Linked DNA regions of Oryzias latipes. The protein of the gene in region 3 purifies or fractionates together with the protein of the main gene of each other region. This does not show direct contact. Links are inferred from orthologs where the notes say so. Each region holds a gene or a part of one and is shown on either strand. Other genes may lie near its edges.

Region 1 (5,361 bases), on a different chromosome or scaffold from region 3:
TCACATAATAGCCTAAGTAAGGCAGATTAAGCCGACTGTGGGGTGCAGCTGTACTATCACAGGGGGGAAGGTTTGGGTGTACTGAGAGTTTTGGGGTGTCATATCCCTCCAAGCCCCAAAAAATGCCTTGAAAACCACGACAATTTATCAACATATACATTTCTTTTAATCTATTTGATGCGTCTTGGAAATCTTATTGAATGTTCAATGATCCTCCTGAAAACATACACTTTGCATTTACCGGGCTTTGGACAGGCACAAGCAGAGCTTGAGATACGTCGTAAGGCTGCATTTGTTGTCTATTTGTTGTCTGTCTGTCCCTCTATATTTTTTGGGCAGCCGCAGTGCACTGGAAGAGCTGTCGGCGGCTGATTGGACGATCACAGATTCAGTTCATGCCTTGCCCGCCCGGGTGTCCTTGGGCAAGACATGAACACCACATTGTTCCTGGTGGTTATAGGTTGGCGCCAGTGTTTGGCAGCAGAGCTGCCATCAGTGTGTGGACGGGTGAAAGGGGCTGTGACTGTGGGGTTAAACGTTTTTGAATAACTTCTTCCCTGGTCAACTTTTAGACATCAAGAATTCAAATATTTTGATGCGTATTTGAAAACTAAAATCAATTTTTACTTGGAAACAAACATTGAATTTATTGAAAAGACTCACTTGTTACACCCACATTCTGGTGGGAACAAATGAGGGTCTTCTGTCTTTTCTTTATTTTGTCAGATTTGACTAAAGAAGGAAAAATTACTTAAATTATGGAACATAACATACCCTATGAAGTGGTGTCAATCAAAGAATAAAGAAAATTCTGAGGAAGTCTATTTTCTGCCCCTCCCGTGGCCTTTTCTGTCCTGTTTTGTTGCTTTTTTTTATTCTTGACTTTCTTTATCTTCCCTTGATTCTGTTCTTTTTGTTCCTGTTTTGTCCTTTTTCTCTGCACAACAGTTTTGATGTTTAACTTACATTGTTTTTGTGTAAGGTGGTTTTCATATATCTATAGATAGACAGATAGATAGATAGATAGATAGATAGATAGATAGATAGACAGACAGACAGACAGACAGACAGACAGACAGACAGACAGACAGACAGACAGACAGACAGACAGACAGACAGACAGACAGACAGACAGACAGACAGATAGATAGATAGATAGATAGATAGATAGATAGATAGATAGATAGATAGATAGATAGATAGATAGATAGATAGATAGATAAAGGGTCTCTGCTCGCTAACTTCCTGTTAATGAATATTCCACTGATGCAGAGGAACAGGGAAACACGAAGCACTTTCACATGAGCAGTCTTATGCCATTTCAGTGATTTGGGTTTTCTTAGTTACAGTTAATTAATGATGGGCTTAAAATGTATCTTTATAATTGTTCAGCTTTGGGCCCCAGGCACCTTTGCCTTATGGTAAGTCCACCCCATTTGTTATTTTTTTTGTTTTTTTAGTTAATTGTTGATGTTTTTTTGTTTTGTTTTTATTTTTTATTTTTGTTAATCACATTTGTAAGGGGGGGCAGCAGGCATTTGGGGGTATTGCCCTCCTTGCACATGCCTGTATCCGCCCTTGGCATTAAGCTAAAAATGCATTCTATCTCCATGTTTGTGTTTCTCCCACTTCCCCTTAAAACAGCCATAAGTCAGGGAAAAGGGCAAATAGCCGGAGTGGAATTTCCTCTTTATTTCAGCTATTAGTTGAGTGTTTTGACTGGATACGTCATTAAAGCTGAGTTTTCCTGAACAATTCTTTATCCCAAACATGGAGCAGGAATGTCGTTTGACGTCTGCGGGTGTGGAACCGCATTTTCTTCTGCTACGCCCTCTCCAGCCAGCCTCTAGGCATTTACACGGGAAGAGAAAGGGAGAACGAGACGGGACGCCCTCCTCCTCCTCCTCCTCTTTTCTTCCTCCTCTTCCTCCTCCTCCAGTTTCTTGGCGGATAACGGTTTTCAAGAAGTTCTCCAGACAAAAGGCGCAGAGAGAGAGAGGCTGTCAGAGCTGCGTTCATGCAGCCTCTCCACGCTGTCCCTGCTGCGCTACACACAGGACAGAACCGCCGGCGGAGCGCAGATCATGGAGGATTTGGGTGAGTGATCCAGCTGTTTCTCCGTCCATCTTTTTCCAACTACACGTTTAGGAAATCTTGGAGGGATCTGCGGGGAGGACTGGAGCGCCCAACCAGAGGAAATCAGCTCTCTGTTGCTCCTGGCAGGCGCACAGCACAGCTCCTTTCCCCGCAATAACACGCAGGGCTTCAGGGTTTTATGCCATTTTCAGACAAAAGAGCAAGGAAAATTTGTCTCAAACTGCACTTTGGACTAATTACTGTGTGGAAAGTGTGTGTTTACCCCTAAAAGACACACAAGACGTGGACCTGTGCATTACTTTACATCTGTTTCTCCAGCACCGCCTGCAAATCTAATCACATCTTTGAAAATTAGATTGAAGGGAATCCATAATCCATTAATTATCAAGTCAGGGATGGACAGAACATAATGTATAACAGGGTGTCTTCCATTAAGGAGCATATTTTTCCCCTTCATAAAAGACTAAAATAAACTACTATTTGAGGGGGAAAAAACAGAAAAGCTTTTCCTGCTGCCCATTCCATCATGAAGTCCATCTTAGACGTCAGGCACTCAAGCAACATGGCAAAGATGCATATCTGGGCACATCTGGATCAGATCTCACCAAGAGGGGGACTGGCTGAGTGTTTGGGCCCACAGGCTGGGTTCCTGCTGTTGTTTGGCCATGTTGTAAGTTTATGTGGCTGCATCTGGCGAGGCCTAAAAATGAGTGGGACCTCTTGTCGGAGAAAAGCCCTCGGCCAAGACAAACAAGTCGGGAAGCAGTTCTAAATATGGTCATAATTTCCAAGTTCAACTCCTTATATGTGCCGTCTGTCCAAGTCTGCGTGTGTGGAAGAGAAACACACACTCAGCAGGCAGGAAGACGGAGGGAAATATATCTGCAGTATTTTCAACACGCTGTCGAAACAGACATGTGAATCATCTTTGGCAGAGATGACCACAATGCTGCTTACGTTCAGGTCTGTCACACCGAGTGAGTAATGTTCACAGAAAAGAGAGCGTCAGCGATGGCCAGAGACATTTCAGATGGTCAGCGTCACAGTTGGATGAAAGGAACTGGAGTCCGAGCAGATTGGATTGTTTGATAAACGAACTAACAGTGGAATAGAATTGTTGAGGAGGCATGTCCAAAGTTCGGGCCATGGACTACTTGTCCACAGGCTTCTGTCATAAAAAAAGTAAATATTTCTGGTCTCCAAATATGAAATTTACTGTAATTTGGGTAAATATATATGTAGAAATATTTCTGTTTTATGTGATGAAGTAAAATGTCTCAAAACATTTTAATTACATTGTTAATTTGCATGTCATGTTGTTATGAGAGTTCAAAGAATGCTGGCCCCCACACATGTTCACCTCTCCGAATCTGGCCCTCTTTGCAAAAAGAGGAAGAAAAGTTTTATTAGTTTCACTTTTGGAATAAAAAGTAATTGTCTGGGCTGCACGGTGGTTAGCACTCTCACAAGAATGCCCTAGTAGTACAAATCCAGGCTGGGACCTTTCTGTGTGAAGTTTGCATGTTCTCCTCCTGCATGTGTGGGTTTTCTCTGGGCGTTCCTCCCACGGCCCCAACACATGGTTGGAGGTGAATCGGTGCCTCTAAATTGTCCCTAAAGGTGTGCATGTAAATAACTTTTCCCCCAACAGTAGCTCAGTGGGCTCCAGCGACCCCGTGACCCTAAAAGGGTCTCAGTGGGTACTGAAGATGGATGGATGGAAGTTTATTAATCCCTTAAGCCATTTTTAGAATAAAGCTCAAAAAGTTCCTGTTACTTTTCCCCACATTACCTAAAATTACAAAGCAAGGAAAAAGAGTCCATTTGTTTTTGTTTTTTTATTTTGACCCTGTCATTGTCAAAAAACTATGAATTTAACCCCAAAATAACAACAAATCAAGATTCTGGTGCATTAATTTGTAATGCCATAAAGAATTTGACCAGAGAAAAACATTTAGTTAAACTTTTTTCTTTTGTCATGGAACAAGTCATGTTCAGTGGTCTTATTATTATAAATAATTATTCAAAGTGGTCTTTTCCCTTTTTGATCTTTTGGTAATTATTGAACAATTAAGCTTTTTTTTTTTAAATAAACCAGTCATTTACATATTAATTTCCCAAAAAATGTCTAAAGATGCTGCAAAATAAATGAAAATTCTAAAAAATAAATAAAAAAAGTGCCTCTGTGAGACCCCTAATGCACATGGCAGAATATAATAAATGTTTTCAAAATGATTACTATTTGATTACTACCCCGATTCATTTTTTCATTAATATTATTTTGGTTTCAAAATCATGTCGGCCAATCCTAATCACATTCGGAAGTTTATAGCTCAAAATACCTTTGCTCTAAGAAAGAAAATGGTTTGAAAGTGGTGCTATAGTTGCTGTAAGTGATCTACTTTGATCAGAATTTGTTGATCTTGTGACTAAAGGCTTTTGTCTGCAAAACCTTTTTCTGAGGTGAATAAGATATGCATCATTTCCTCTAGGAGTACTGGAAAACAAAAGAATAATCAATTATTTATTTAATATTTTAGAGATACTGCAGTCTGAAAAAAATAAAAATAAAAATCCAAACCATGATACAACCCTCACTGTGCTTTGAGGATGGGATCCTTTTTTATTTGGGAAAACACAGTGCTTCCTTTTTTGACTTATTTTTTATTTATTAATAAAAAAAAACCTAATGATTTATTTGCACCAGTGGGTTTCTACGTTCTTATCCTTGTGTTTTTCTGGTAGTGCAGTGTTACTGCAATAACGTTCGGTGCTCCAAACTGAAGGAATGTGATTGGGGAAGGCTGCTCTTGGACTTCACACCCTTTACTGAAGCTTACAGTTTAAAATTTAGCGCCCTGCTTTGCACGAATATGATGATGCCACGCTGCTGCAGGGACGTGTTTGGTTTCTGGAGTGAGTGTTTGTATGGGAGGGGGTGGTTTCCTGGCAGACGTTGGATATCAGGTGCCAAACACTCTTCCTCCTCGATGCGTGTTCTGATGACCTCAGTGCGGGCTGTCTCCTGAGCGATAGCCTTCCTCCCTGTCGTGCCCGCTGGCTGATTCATGTGTGAGGATGCTGGCTGTCCTCCCTGCTGTGTGTGCTCTGACTTGCTGCTGTATTGGTCACACAGGCTGTCTGTCTCTCTTTAGGAGGGCCTGAGCTGCCTAACTACCCTCTAAGTCCTCGTATTGTTGTGTTTGGTATGTAACTGTCTGTCTACATTTTCCTGTCGTTTATGTAATAGAATCTTATTTACAT
Region 2 (5,489 bases), on a different chromosome or scaffold from region 3:
GCAGATGGGAAGAGCCGGTCCCTGGGGTCGGGCAGCATGTCGGGTCACCGGCAGGCCTGGGACGGCACCTACAGCCAGAGCACCCGGCTGCAGCTGGACACGTCCAAGCTGGACCTGGGCAGAGGGGGGGAGATCAGCTGCGTCGCTGTTCACCGTGGCGGCACGCGGCGGGCCAGCGTGACCCTCAGTGTGATCGGTAACCTCACTTTTATCGTCACACGCTCTGAATTATTTGGATTCTAACATTTTTCAATAAAGAGCTGAACATATAACGTATGGAAATGTTGAATTATTTGAATGACGGGTTTGTGAGTTTACCTTCATAGCAAAAGTGTTGAAAAGTGTTTTTGGTTTTACCTGAAGGGTTCAGCTCGCCGTCCATCGAGGACTCCATGGCGATGGTGGGTGTGGCCTTGGTGCTCTACGGCCTCATTAAGTTTGCTTCATGGACTTTTACCAGCTCAGGTACCAAGACAACATCATTGTTCACTGAAATATTGAATATGTTTTAAATGTGCCGTCATATGGGAGTTTTTGGTGTAAATAGACATTCCTGACTTCTCCACTCGTTGTTTTCAGGATCTGATGAGGCTGCTAAACCCAACAAGGCAAGTTCACTCATTTATTTACGTAAATGTTAACAGTCTTTCACTCTTGTGAATAACATCTGTTATTTCTCTCACAACAGGATAAGTGATGACAAAGCAGACGTTTGTCACTAAATCATCAAGGTGTCTCATACTTCTGATGGGGTTTCATGTGCAGCTGTCCAGCTCTTTGGTGCCTTTGGTTGATTGGTTGCTGGTTTGGACCGTACCATTTTTACAGAAAATTATTTGACCACCCCTTTCTTTTAATGTTCTTATCTTGAAAGCATGACATCATAAAAACCGAAAGAACGCTTCAAGTTTCACTTTGGGGATTTCTAAACTGTGACTGGAGGCTGTGTTTTGTTTTGTTTTTTGAGAAATATGTTTCACTGAAGATGCAAAACAACTGTCCTAATTAATAAAGTAAAGCACGTTTGTAAATAGGAAGCCCAGAATATTTGTACATTGTATTACAATTAATGAATGTCTGTCTTTTTTTGTGTGTTTGTCAAAGTTCTGCTGAAATGTTGACAAAATTGTTGTAAAAATTCCAAAAATAAAAGGTTGTAAGAAGTCATTTTAATTGTGCTTTATCTGTCCATTTCTAAACGTTTATTATACTTGATGGCGTGGTTCTCCAAGTTAACTCTTCTTACATTTGGACATAATATGCATCATGATTAACCATGTTTTAACCAGCTCAGTGGCCTTGTGGTAGAGTGTCTGCCCTATGACTGGAACGTCGTAAATTCAAATCTAGGCCGAGTCATACCACAGACTCTAAAAATTGACACTCAGCATTAAGGGGGTGAATCCAATCCAGTTCCTGTGTACGGTTGTGTCTGCTGCTCACAGTCAAATGCAGAGAACAAATGTGTGACATGTAATGGTATTAACCAGGTTTAAAAATCACTTTATTATGCCCTACAAATGAGGAGTCTGAATGCAAGAAAATAATCTAGAATAGAGGAAATTTAAAGCTAAAACAACTGCAGCTTACGTAGGCAGCTAAATAATAGACATACTTTTATTACATCTTTTAGAAAAAACAGCTGCAACTTCCAGCTTTTTCTGCCACAATCATCACAAAAATGCATGTGAGATTGCGGAGGGACTGTACATCATGCAGACTATGAGTTGGATGCTGATGTGCCGCGGGATTTTTGTCAAGGATAAAGCGTGCTTTGGCTCTAAAAAGGTTGAAAAACACTGATCTAGAGCGCTCAGACACTCTGCAGTTCACTGTTTTTTCCACTAAATGTCTGTTTTGTTGGAGAGTGTACTCACAAATCGTAACGGAAGATCCGTAGAAGAAGACGTAGTGTTGTTGTCTTCCACTCTGGCCAATAGCAGACATTTTTACTGGATCTTTATTCTTTCCACCAATGAGAGGCCTTGGCATTGGTCTGAGTGTCGCGGGCACATTTTCGGTTTCTAGCAGTTCGTGGAGCTAAATTTACGAGATCTAAATTAGCCAAAAGACTTTGCTATCCTAAAAAACGCATCCATGAAGTATTAATAACTTTAATCTGTTAGTTAAATAACCAGGAAATCATGCCGTTTTTCCTATATTCCGTTTGGATTTACAAGAAAAGTTACAGTAGCTGCTCTGTTGCTAATCTTAGCTTAAAAACTGCTGTGCGTTCCTGAAGAGCAACATTTACGTTTCTATTGTTCCTGAATAAAAGGTGAGTGTTTTAATAATATGCACCCAGTCGTGTTTTCTCAGAATTATAAGCACCGTATCTGCCATGTTTTGTGATCAGTTTTTACAAAATTTCCTTTTGTTTTCACTTTAGATTAAGTTCTGTTGAATATTCGCCTTCATTTTTTTTCGTTGACCAGAAAACTACGAGAGAGACAGACTCAGGATGTAAAAGTAAACAGGAAAAAATTTTGGTAATTAAAGTTGATGTAAATCAGATAAGGCTACTAGACAGATTTTTTTTAATGTTGAATAATCAAAAGCAAAATAGACATCAGTGCTATTTGTCGTCGAGCCATTTCATTTTTGCATTCCGAGCATTTTCGTCTTAAAAATAAGTCTAATTTGTGTCGATCAGGCAACAGAAAAGTGCCATTTCTTTGTCTGCATCTCGGTATTTTCAGGTCAGCATTGCAGCCGTGTGGACGATTATTATTGCAGTGTTTTTATCTTTTTGGATCTTTAATAATCCTGTTTCACTGTGAGACGTTTTTGTCCACATTCTCACCAGATACCGTGTTGTGTATCTTTCTCTCTCAGCATCTCAGTACATCATGACCCATGCGTTGAGATTTTCATCTGTAAAATATATAACTAGCTTTGTGGCAATACAGTCCAATCCTTTAATGAATAAAATCTAGATTTTTATTATTCATTTGACATTTAGAACTATAAATTCAACAGCTTCCACGATTCAAACCTGCATTTAGGGCCTTCTAGACTGTTCTGTTCTTTATGGTTAAAACATCTCATATTCATTTATTCATACATTGTTAGAGGTGCTGGGAAAAAGGAGGGCTAGTTTTGTGCACACAACATCCCACTTATTTATTGTGGTTCAGTTAGTTTTCATTGATAGAAGCAGGCTTGTGATTGGACGTCTTGTGTTTTGGTCACTCGTGAAAAGGGCAAAAACAGTAGAGTCCACACCACGAAGAGAAACTGACAACGTTTACCAGAAACAACGTTTTTTTATTCCTGATGAATTTTATACCTTTTTACCAACATAATCATGTGTTCATATCTGTGGTTTTCATTGGACAGACAACTGTGCTTCCATTCAGGCTCTATGGGTTTGTTTATAAACATTTAAAATAAAATAAGCCAATTAGTAATAGATTTTTTTATATAAATTGATTTTTTTGGACCCCTGATAAATTATTAGTTGCTGGTTTTTGTAACAAGGACTAAACAGTAGGAAATAAGTTGTGAAAAATGTTTTTCACCACTGACCCCCCAATATTTACTAATATATGAATAGATTTTTGAAATCAATAATCCTTCCACGTCTTGCTTCTGTACCTTTTGTCACGACCAGCGTGTTTTTCCTGTTTGCAGATTCACAGCAGAATCCGTCAGGGTTTAGATGGCGGTGGCTCCTGCCTCAATGGGAGATGAGATCATAGTTCTGGATGAAGACAACGAGGACAGCCCCCAGCCCTCTTTTTCCGCTACTACTCCCTCCTCTGATCATGGCTCCAGAAACGCCTTACCGCCCAAAGGTCAGCACTTGGTGGCCGTGCACGCCGCCATGTCCCCAAGTCACCAAGTCTCAGGGAAGAAGGAAGCTCAGGGTCTTCTAGCTGAGAATCAGAAACTGTTCTCTGAGGTGAGCTGCTTCAGGTTTTTACTGAGCCCACCCTCTCTTCTGTGGTCTTCTTCAACTTCTAAAATAAAGAATATTTTAACACCCAGCAGGTTTTTGTTTGTGCTAATATTGCTGATATCTACTGTTTTTTTCCTTAATATTTTGTGATAAAATATGTTTTTATGTGCTTCGGAATAGATTGTTAGAAACATTTAAGATGTTAAATTGTTGAAAGCTTTTACAGTTCATCTGTTTGACTTTCTCTGTGAGTCACAATTGAATCTTTTTCTGTTTTGTAAAAGTCTTATAAAGGTGTAATATGAAAGGTGTAATGATCTGCATGATTCATCTTCAGTGTTTGATTCTCTCGTGTCTTTCCTGTAGTTTGTGGAGCATTGCTCCGCTCAGACCAAGGAGTGCCCGGAGGTCCTGGAATACCTGCAGCTGAAACACTCCAAGACGTGTCCAGAGTTTCTGTCCTCTGTGGAGTTCAGGAACACTCTGAAAGGATGTCTAACTCGCGCTCAGAACAACCGCTCCAAAACCTTTGTCTTCATCAATGAACTGTGCACGGTGCTCAAACAGCACAGGGATAAAAGGAGACTGACCCTCTCCAAGGCGGCGCCCTCTACCTCAACATCAGCTTCTGTTCAGTCTACCTCCGTTCCCCCTAACAGTGAGAAGAGGAGTGACGAAGAGCAACCTTCTACTTCTGGAGTGCAGGAAGACAACAAAGAGCAAGATCAAAAAGAGGAAAAAAGAGCTAAAAGGGCCTCAAGGAAACAGGTCGGTACAGACAATAAACCTAAAAAAAAAAAGACAGTCAGTGTTAATCCTGTACTTGTTTTATTCCTGAAATCAGACGATGCCAGACTAAATATCTGGAGCACATGTCTCCCTCTCAGATCGCGTACCTGGAGAATCTCCTAAAGGTTTACAACGATGAGATCTTCCGTCTGCAGCAAACTGAGCTTAGCCTGAATGACTTGGAAGCTGAAGACTCCATCTACATCCAGGAGCACAAGCTGAAGCGGAAGGTCTGATGCACATCTGATTGTGGAACAAAAGGTCAAACGGTGTTTGGTAACAGGCATTCATTTCTTTCCCAGTTGATGAAGATCTATGAAAAGCTGTGTGAACTGAAGGGCTGCAACACGTTAACGGGCCGAGCCATTGAGGAGAGGATCGAGTACAAAAGCACTCGATACCCTGAGATCAACAAGAGAGTGAGCTGACGGCTTTAAAGGTTTCCCTAAATATCTTGGAACATAACCTCCCAGTTCCTCGTTTATCTTTTCCTCCTTTGTTAGATCCAGCGCTTCATCAACAGTCCCGAGGTGCAGAAGAACCCTCCGGATTATCAAGACATCCTCCAGCAGGTTCTGCGGGCCAACGAGCGCCACAACCTGTGCTTGAGCAAGAGCCATCTGAACCAGATCGCTCAGGAGGCCTTCAGGGAGACGGGCGACCTCCTGCAGAGGCGCCGACTCAACGACATGTTCTACAACTTTGGCTCTCACCTCACAGACAACTACAAACCCAGTGAGACTCCCAGCTGAGAGAAAAGCTGCTCGCTGCTGTTTGGTTGGATCCTTCCTTAAAGAGT
Region 3 (4,270 bases):
AGATGGGGCCGTGATTGGTCTGAAACCTTTAGGGGAAACTTCATTAGTGAACTACATTATGTAAAAAATCTATAAATGAACCACTCTAGAAAAATAGGAAATTAGTACTTGAGACCTAATAAACTGGCATTTTCGAATTGTATTTACTTTAAAAAGCAGCTGGAGCCAGCATGACAAACACCTCCAAAAGCTTAATCAACTATTTCTGACTATGCTTTGTTTAAAGCTGTCTACTGGACTTATCCCAATGTATTGAGCTGTGATCATTTAGGAGATAAGCCAACATTAAGTTAAGCAGAAATGCAAGATACTTATAACAAAGCATCCATTTCTGGAGGATCTTCCAAGCTGTGCAAAACATGAAATGATTCTCCTGACGTTTTTCAATTTCATGTAATGCTCCTTTTTTAACAGTAGATGTCACCGTTGTGCTTTTGATTGGCTATTCCTTGATTAGCCCTTGTGCTATCTTAGATGACCCCACCCTTACATTGACGTGTTCTTCCTACCATAACAAAAGTGGGTAAAGGTGGAAAGATTTCATGTAATCCATCACAAATCATTGAAGAAAAAAGGTTCAGCGCACTGTCTGGTGGGTCTAGATGACCCATCTCCCAATGTTAAAGTGCCTAGGATAGCACAAGGGTTAGATTAGTTTGTTGCGTCACTTGCACTGATCTTTTTCTTTTCATAGTAAAAAAATAATAAATAGTTAATGTAGAATATTTTTTATTATTTTTTTATTATTTATTAGGAACTGATAATGACCTTATGGTGTTGTATAGATAATTTGCTAAAATCAAGATCAGCATAAATAGTGAACTTTGACCTTTTGTACTTAAAGAGAACTTTAAAGGGGGGGGAAAGAGCAAAACTAATTTAATTTTAAGTTTGTCTTTTTATTAATATTAGATTTGTTTTATTTTTGTTTTATATAACTTTGGAGTGCTGTCTCCATTTCCCCCAAATTAAGGTAGAGTTTTTAAGAGGTAAAAAAATTAAGTTAAGTCTTTAAATCTTTATTAAATTTGCAGTTAAAACTGTTTTACAAGGTAATGATATAATATTTTCAGAAACCTCGTACAAACAATATCATACTTCACACCGTTTTAAATTTAGTAACAGTAAATTTTTGCTGCACAGCTACAAAAAGACTTTTTTTGTCTATTCTTTTTTCCGTGTCCTTGCCTAAAATATTGATCCTTACAATATACTGTTAGTTATTATGGGTTGTAAAAAATTGGTGACCTCTGACCTGTTTTTAGGTGTAAGTTTTCATGTTAAAAAAAAGTTTGAGCTGCAAGAATGAATATTGTGACAAAACCACAATCTGTGAAAGAAATGTATTTTTACCAAATTTTATTTCTGTTTCATTGTGAAGGCTGAAATTGCATAATACAATCATTCTACAAGAACAGTAAGATAAAGACCAGTTTATAGTAAACAAAATTTTAGTGCAAAATTACAAAATTAAAAAGGACAGCAAGGGTTTGTTTTATTGGATCCAATACCATTTCTGCTTTTTATTAAGTTTAAATTAGATTATAAAAGTCTCAAATCTCCCAAAAAGCAAATGATAACATTAAATTTAAGCAATCTAGTCTGCTTTGTGTAATTTTAATAATTGCTGCTATGCACAGTTTGAGCTACTTTCTGCTCACTATGTTCATTTCTCACTGTCCTGTGTCTTTTTGGTCTGAACGGGGATGACGATCTCATTGTCCGGGCTGCTGATGGATGTTCCTGGGACGGGAGCTTCTACGGACAACATTCCTTCTGAGGACAGGGATGAGCTGATGTGCTGCAGATTCACCCCTTGTGGTAACCTCGAAAAAAATGAGAGAACGTTTGTCACAAACAGAAATATGTTACGGTCGCATCCTAAATGTGTCTCGAATTTGCTTCTCAGCCTCCTTACTTGTATTTACGAGTGAAACATCTTGAAACCAAACTGTGTTCATCTTGCTTTTCTTCATGAGTTCCTTAAAAAAAACAGTAATTATTAATAAACATCTTTATGTATAAAATGAAAAAAAATTAAGCCTACGTACCTGATATTTGCAAGTAGCCATCCTTTGTGCTGATGGAGATCTCTTCGGGTGAAAAATGATTGACGTCCAGGTTGATCTTCCAGCTGTTTTGCCCCGTTCTCACCTCAGACACACCGCTAGTCAGTTGTCTCAGACTCTTCTGGTCCGGCGTGATGGGAGGCAGGAGGGGGCTTTGCGTGTAACCCGGCCAGGAGAAAGAAGCCAGTCTCTTTTTTGCCCAGTCAAGCCAGTCCAGATCATTGGGCTCCAGGAAAGGAGGAATGCCGAAGTCCTGGGCAAAAATACGGCTTGGCTGAGTCCAGTTTGGGAAAGGATCCCAGCGGACATCTCGACGGAATATGGGCCGGGATAGTGTTTTATTTTGATCACCCATGTGGTTCAAAACTCAAGAAAAGGAGACTGAAAATAAAAGCTCTTGCTCCCACCTGACAGAAAAATGCAAGACGAGATCAGACCAACCAAAACGAAACTCAAAAACTGTAAGTAAGCAGGAGGTTTGGGGAAAAGCCTATTTTGGAGTCCGCAGCAATCCACTCACACGCTTTATATAACCAACGGCCTCCTCTTCACACTTGTGCTTTAACAAGTGTGATGTAAGGGATGAAATGTGATGGGCCGGGGCGTCAACTCTCCTGTTGCCCTGGGACTCGGAGAGGACAATGCCAATTATGTGTATTTATATCTTTTGAGTGTCTCCGGTAAGTTGTTGGGGAATGATTCTGGAAGCAGGGAGAAGTCGTGTCATTCAGCCATGGCCTCTGCAGTCCCGTCACATACTGGAGCTCTTTGTCCACCGAAACCACAGCTGCATGTGAAGCAGCACACAAAAAGTCAAACGGTAAACACAAGCGTTGCTTTTAGCCTCCCAACTTAACTTAAGAGCAAAACTGCAGAGCAAACAGGATCTCAGGGTGAAGAAGATAAAGACGTGTTTACAGCTGGTAAAAACAGATGGAGAGAAAGACTATGGAGTTCTGGAGCTGGTGTGGAATTTCACAGAAACATCTTCATGGGTTCAAAAAATAAACCGAGCTTGAGTGAGATAAATTATCTGAGGAATGGCATTTATCAGGGAGGCAACGTGAATATTTCTGAACTCTGCTCATAAACATTTCATTGTTTATCAGGTTTTAATGTTTGACACACCAGGTTACAACAGACTTGATGTCAGTCTGCTTAAGAATGTTATTAAGCACATGTTAAAAGAAAATATTGCCTGAAGTTTAGCTGTGCTATTGCTAGTTTACTAATGAATATAAAAAAGTCTAAAGTGTGCAATCAATGAAAATATGAGCATAGATCAGTTTAAAGGTGTTTTAGGGTCATCGAAAGGAAAACGCTCTTCAGTTGTAAATCCAAAAATTCTTGGAAATAACCCAGAGTTAATGTGTGTGATAAGAAACCAAATAAAGTGAATATACTGTAACATTTTACTGTAGCTCACAAGTGCATTGGCCTCTGTAAAATAGTGTTATCATCCAGCTAATATGTATTTGTGCATTTGTGTGCAATACTTATGGTTAAGGTTAGGGTCAAAGTAAGGGCAAACTTCACTAAAGTTTATTTTACAAGCTTTGCATAAGTGTCTTAAATTGCAGAGTGTAAAAAAACTGGTAGATATACATATAGCAGCCAGATGCTAATGATGTGATGGATTGGCAATGTGCAAATACCTATTTTGATGTCAAACATTAGATGGAATCCGTTTTTTATCACTTAAAAATTAAAAAGAATACACTTTCTACTAATCAAAAAAAGGCCAAAAAAAAAGCTGGAATTTTAAAGGTTAGTGCATCAATACAATGTTATGATTTTATAAAGGAAATTTTCATTTGAATTTGAACTTCAAACCATCAGAAACTAACTTATTTTATTCTATCCTGTGTTTTGTGTTTTCCCAAAATTCAAAGTCACCAGAAAGTTTAAGTTATTAACAGCCACAGCTGTTTGTTTTGCGGTTAATTAATGGTCTGGTTTTATATTTGGTTTTGTCAGGTCCTGTATTTAAGCACCATTTAGTTTTTGTCTGGACTATATATGATTTTATTTTATGGTTGTTGCTTTAATGGCAGGCTGTTGTATTCATGCCAAAATTCACAAATTCATGTTTTTCGTTTCCTCCTCATGTCAATCTTCTGCATTTAGGCCTTCCACCACCAATTATGATAACTTTCTTGAGGCTTTGGAGCAATTCTTCTGAGTTCAGATGCTTCAAAAAA

What was found. The genes of interacting proteins can lie anywhere in the genome.
Region 1: the proteins of heat shock protein beta-1 (region 3) and tgfb1i1 purify together in Homo sapiens (affinity purification with western blotting; 3 studies listed by BioGRID). This does not show direct contact. The link is inferred for Oryzias latipes from reciprocal best matches to the Homo sapiens genes HSPB1 and TGFB1I1.
Region 2: the proteins of heat shock protein beta-1 (region 3) and death domain-associated protein 6 purify together in Homo sapiens (affinity purification with western blotting; 3 studies listed by BioGRID and IntAct, with this or other methods). This does not show direct contact. The link is inferred for Oryzias latipes from reciprocal best matches to the Homo sapiens genes HSPB1 and DAXX.

The regions. Positions count from the first base shown.
Region 1 is NC_019877.2:7,459,702-7,465,062, forward strand, and holds the start of tgfb1i1 (transforming growth factor beta-1-induced transcript 1 protein), read left to right. Parts: upstream 1-1,848; 5' UTR 1,849-2,084; coding exon 2,085-2,097; intron 2,098-5,252; coding exon 5,253-5,303; intron 5,304-5,361. UniProt on the Homo sapiens protein: Functions as a molecular adapter coordinating multiple protein-protein interactions at the focal adhesion complex and in the nucleus. Links various intracellular signaling modules to plasma membrane receptors and regulates the Wnt and TGFB signaling pathways.
Region 2 is NC_019869.2:16,000,564-16,006,052, forward strand, and holds the start of death domain-associated protein 6, read left to right. Parts: upstream 1-1,976; 5' UTR 1,977-2,278; intron 2,279-3,633; 5' UTR 3,634-3,661; coding exon 3,662-3,904; intron 3,905-4,267; coding exon 4,268-4,669; intron 4,670-4,788; coding exon 4,789-4,920; intron 4,921-4,992; coding exon 4,993-5,109; intron 5,110-5,193; coding exon 5,194-5,425; intron 5,426-5,489. UniProt on the Homo sapiens protein: Transcription corepressor known to repress transcriptional potential of several sumoylated transcription factors. Down-regulates basal and activated transcription.
Region 3 is NC_019870.2:13,681,345-13,685,614, forward strand, and holds heat shock protein beta-1, read right to left. Parts: upstream 2,618-4,270; 5' UTR 2,425-2,617; coding exon 2,052-2,424; intron 1,983-2,051; coding exon 1,919-1,982; intron 1,827-1,918; coding exon 1,667-1,826; 3' UTR 1,343-1,666; downstream 1-1,342. UniProt on the Homo sapiens protein: Small heat shock protein which functions as a molecular chaperone probably maintaining denatured proteins in a folding-competent state. Plays a role in stress resistance and actin organization.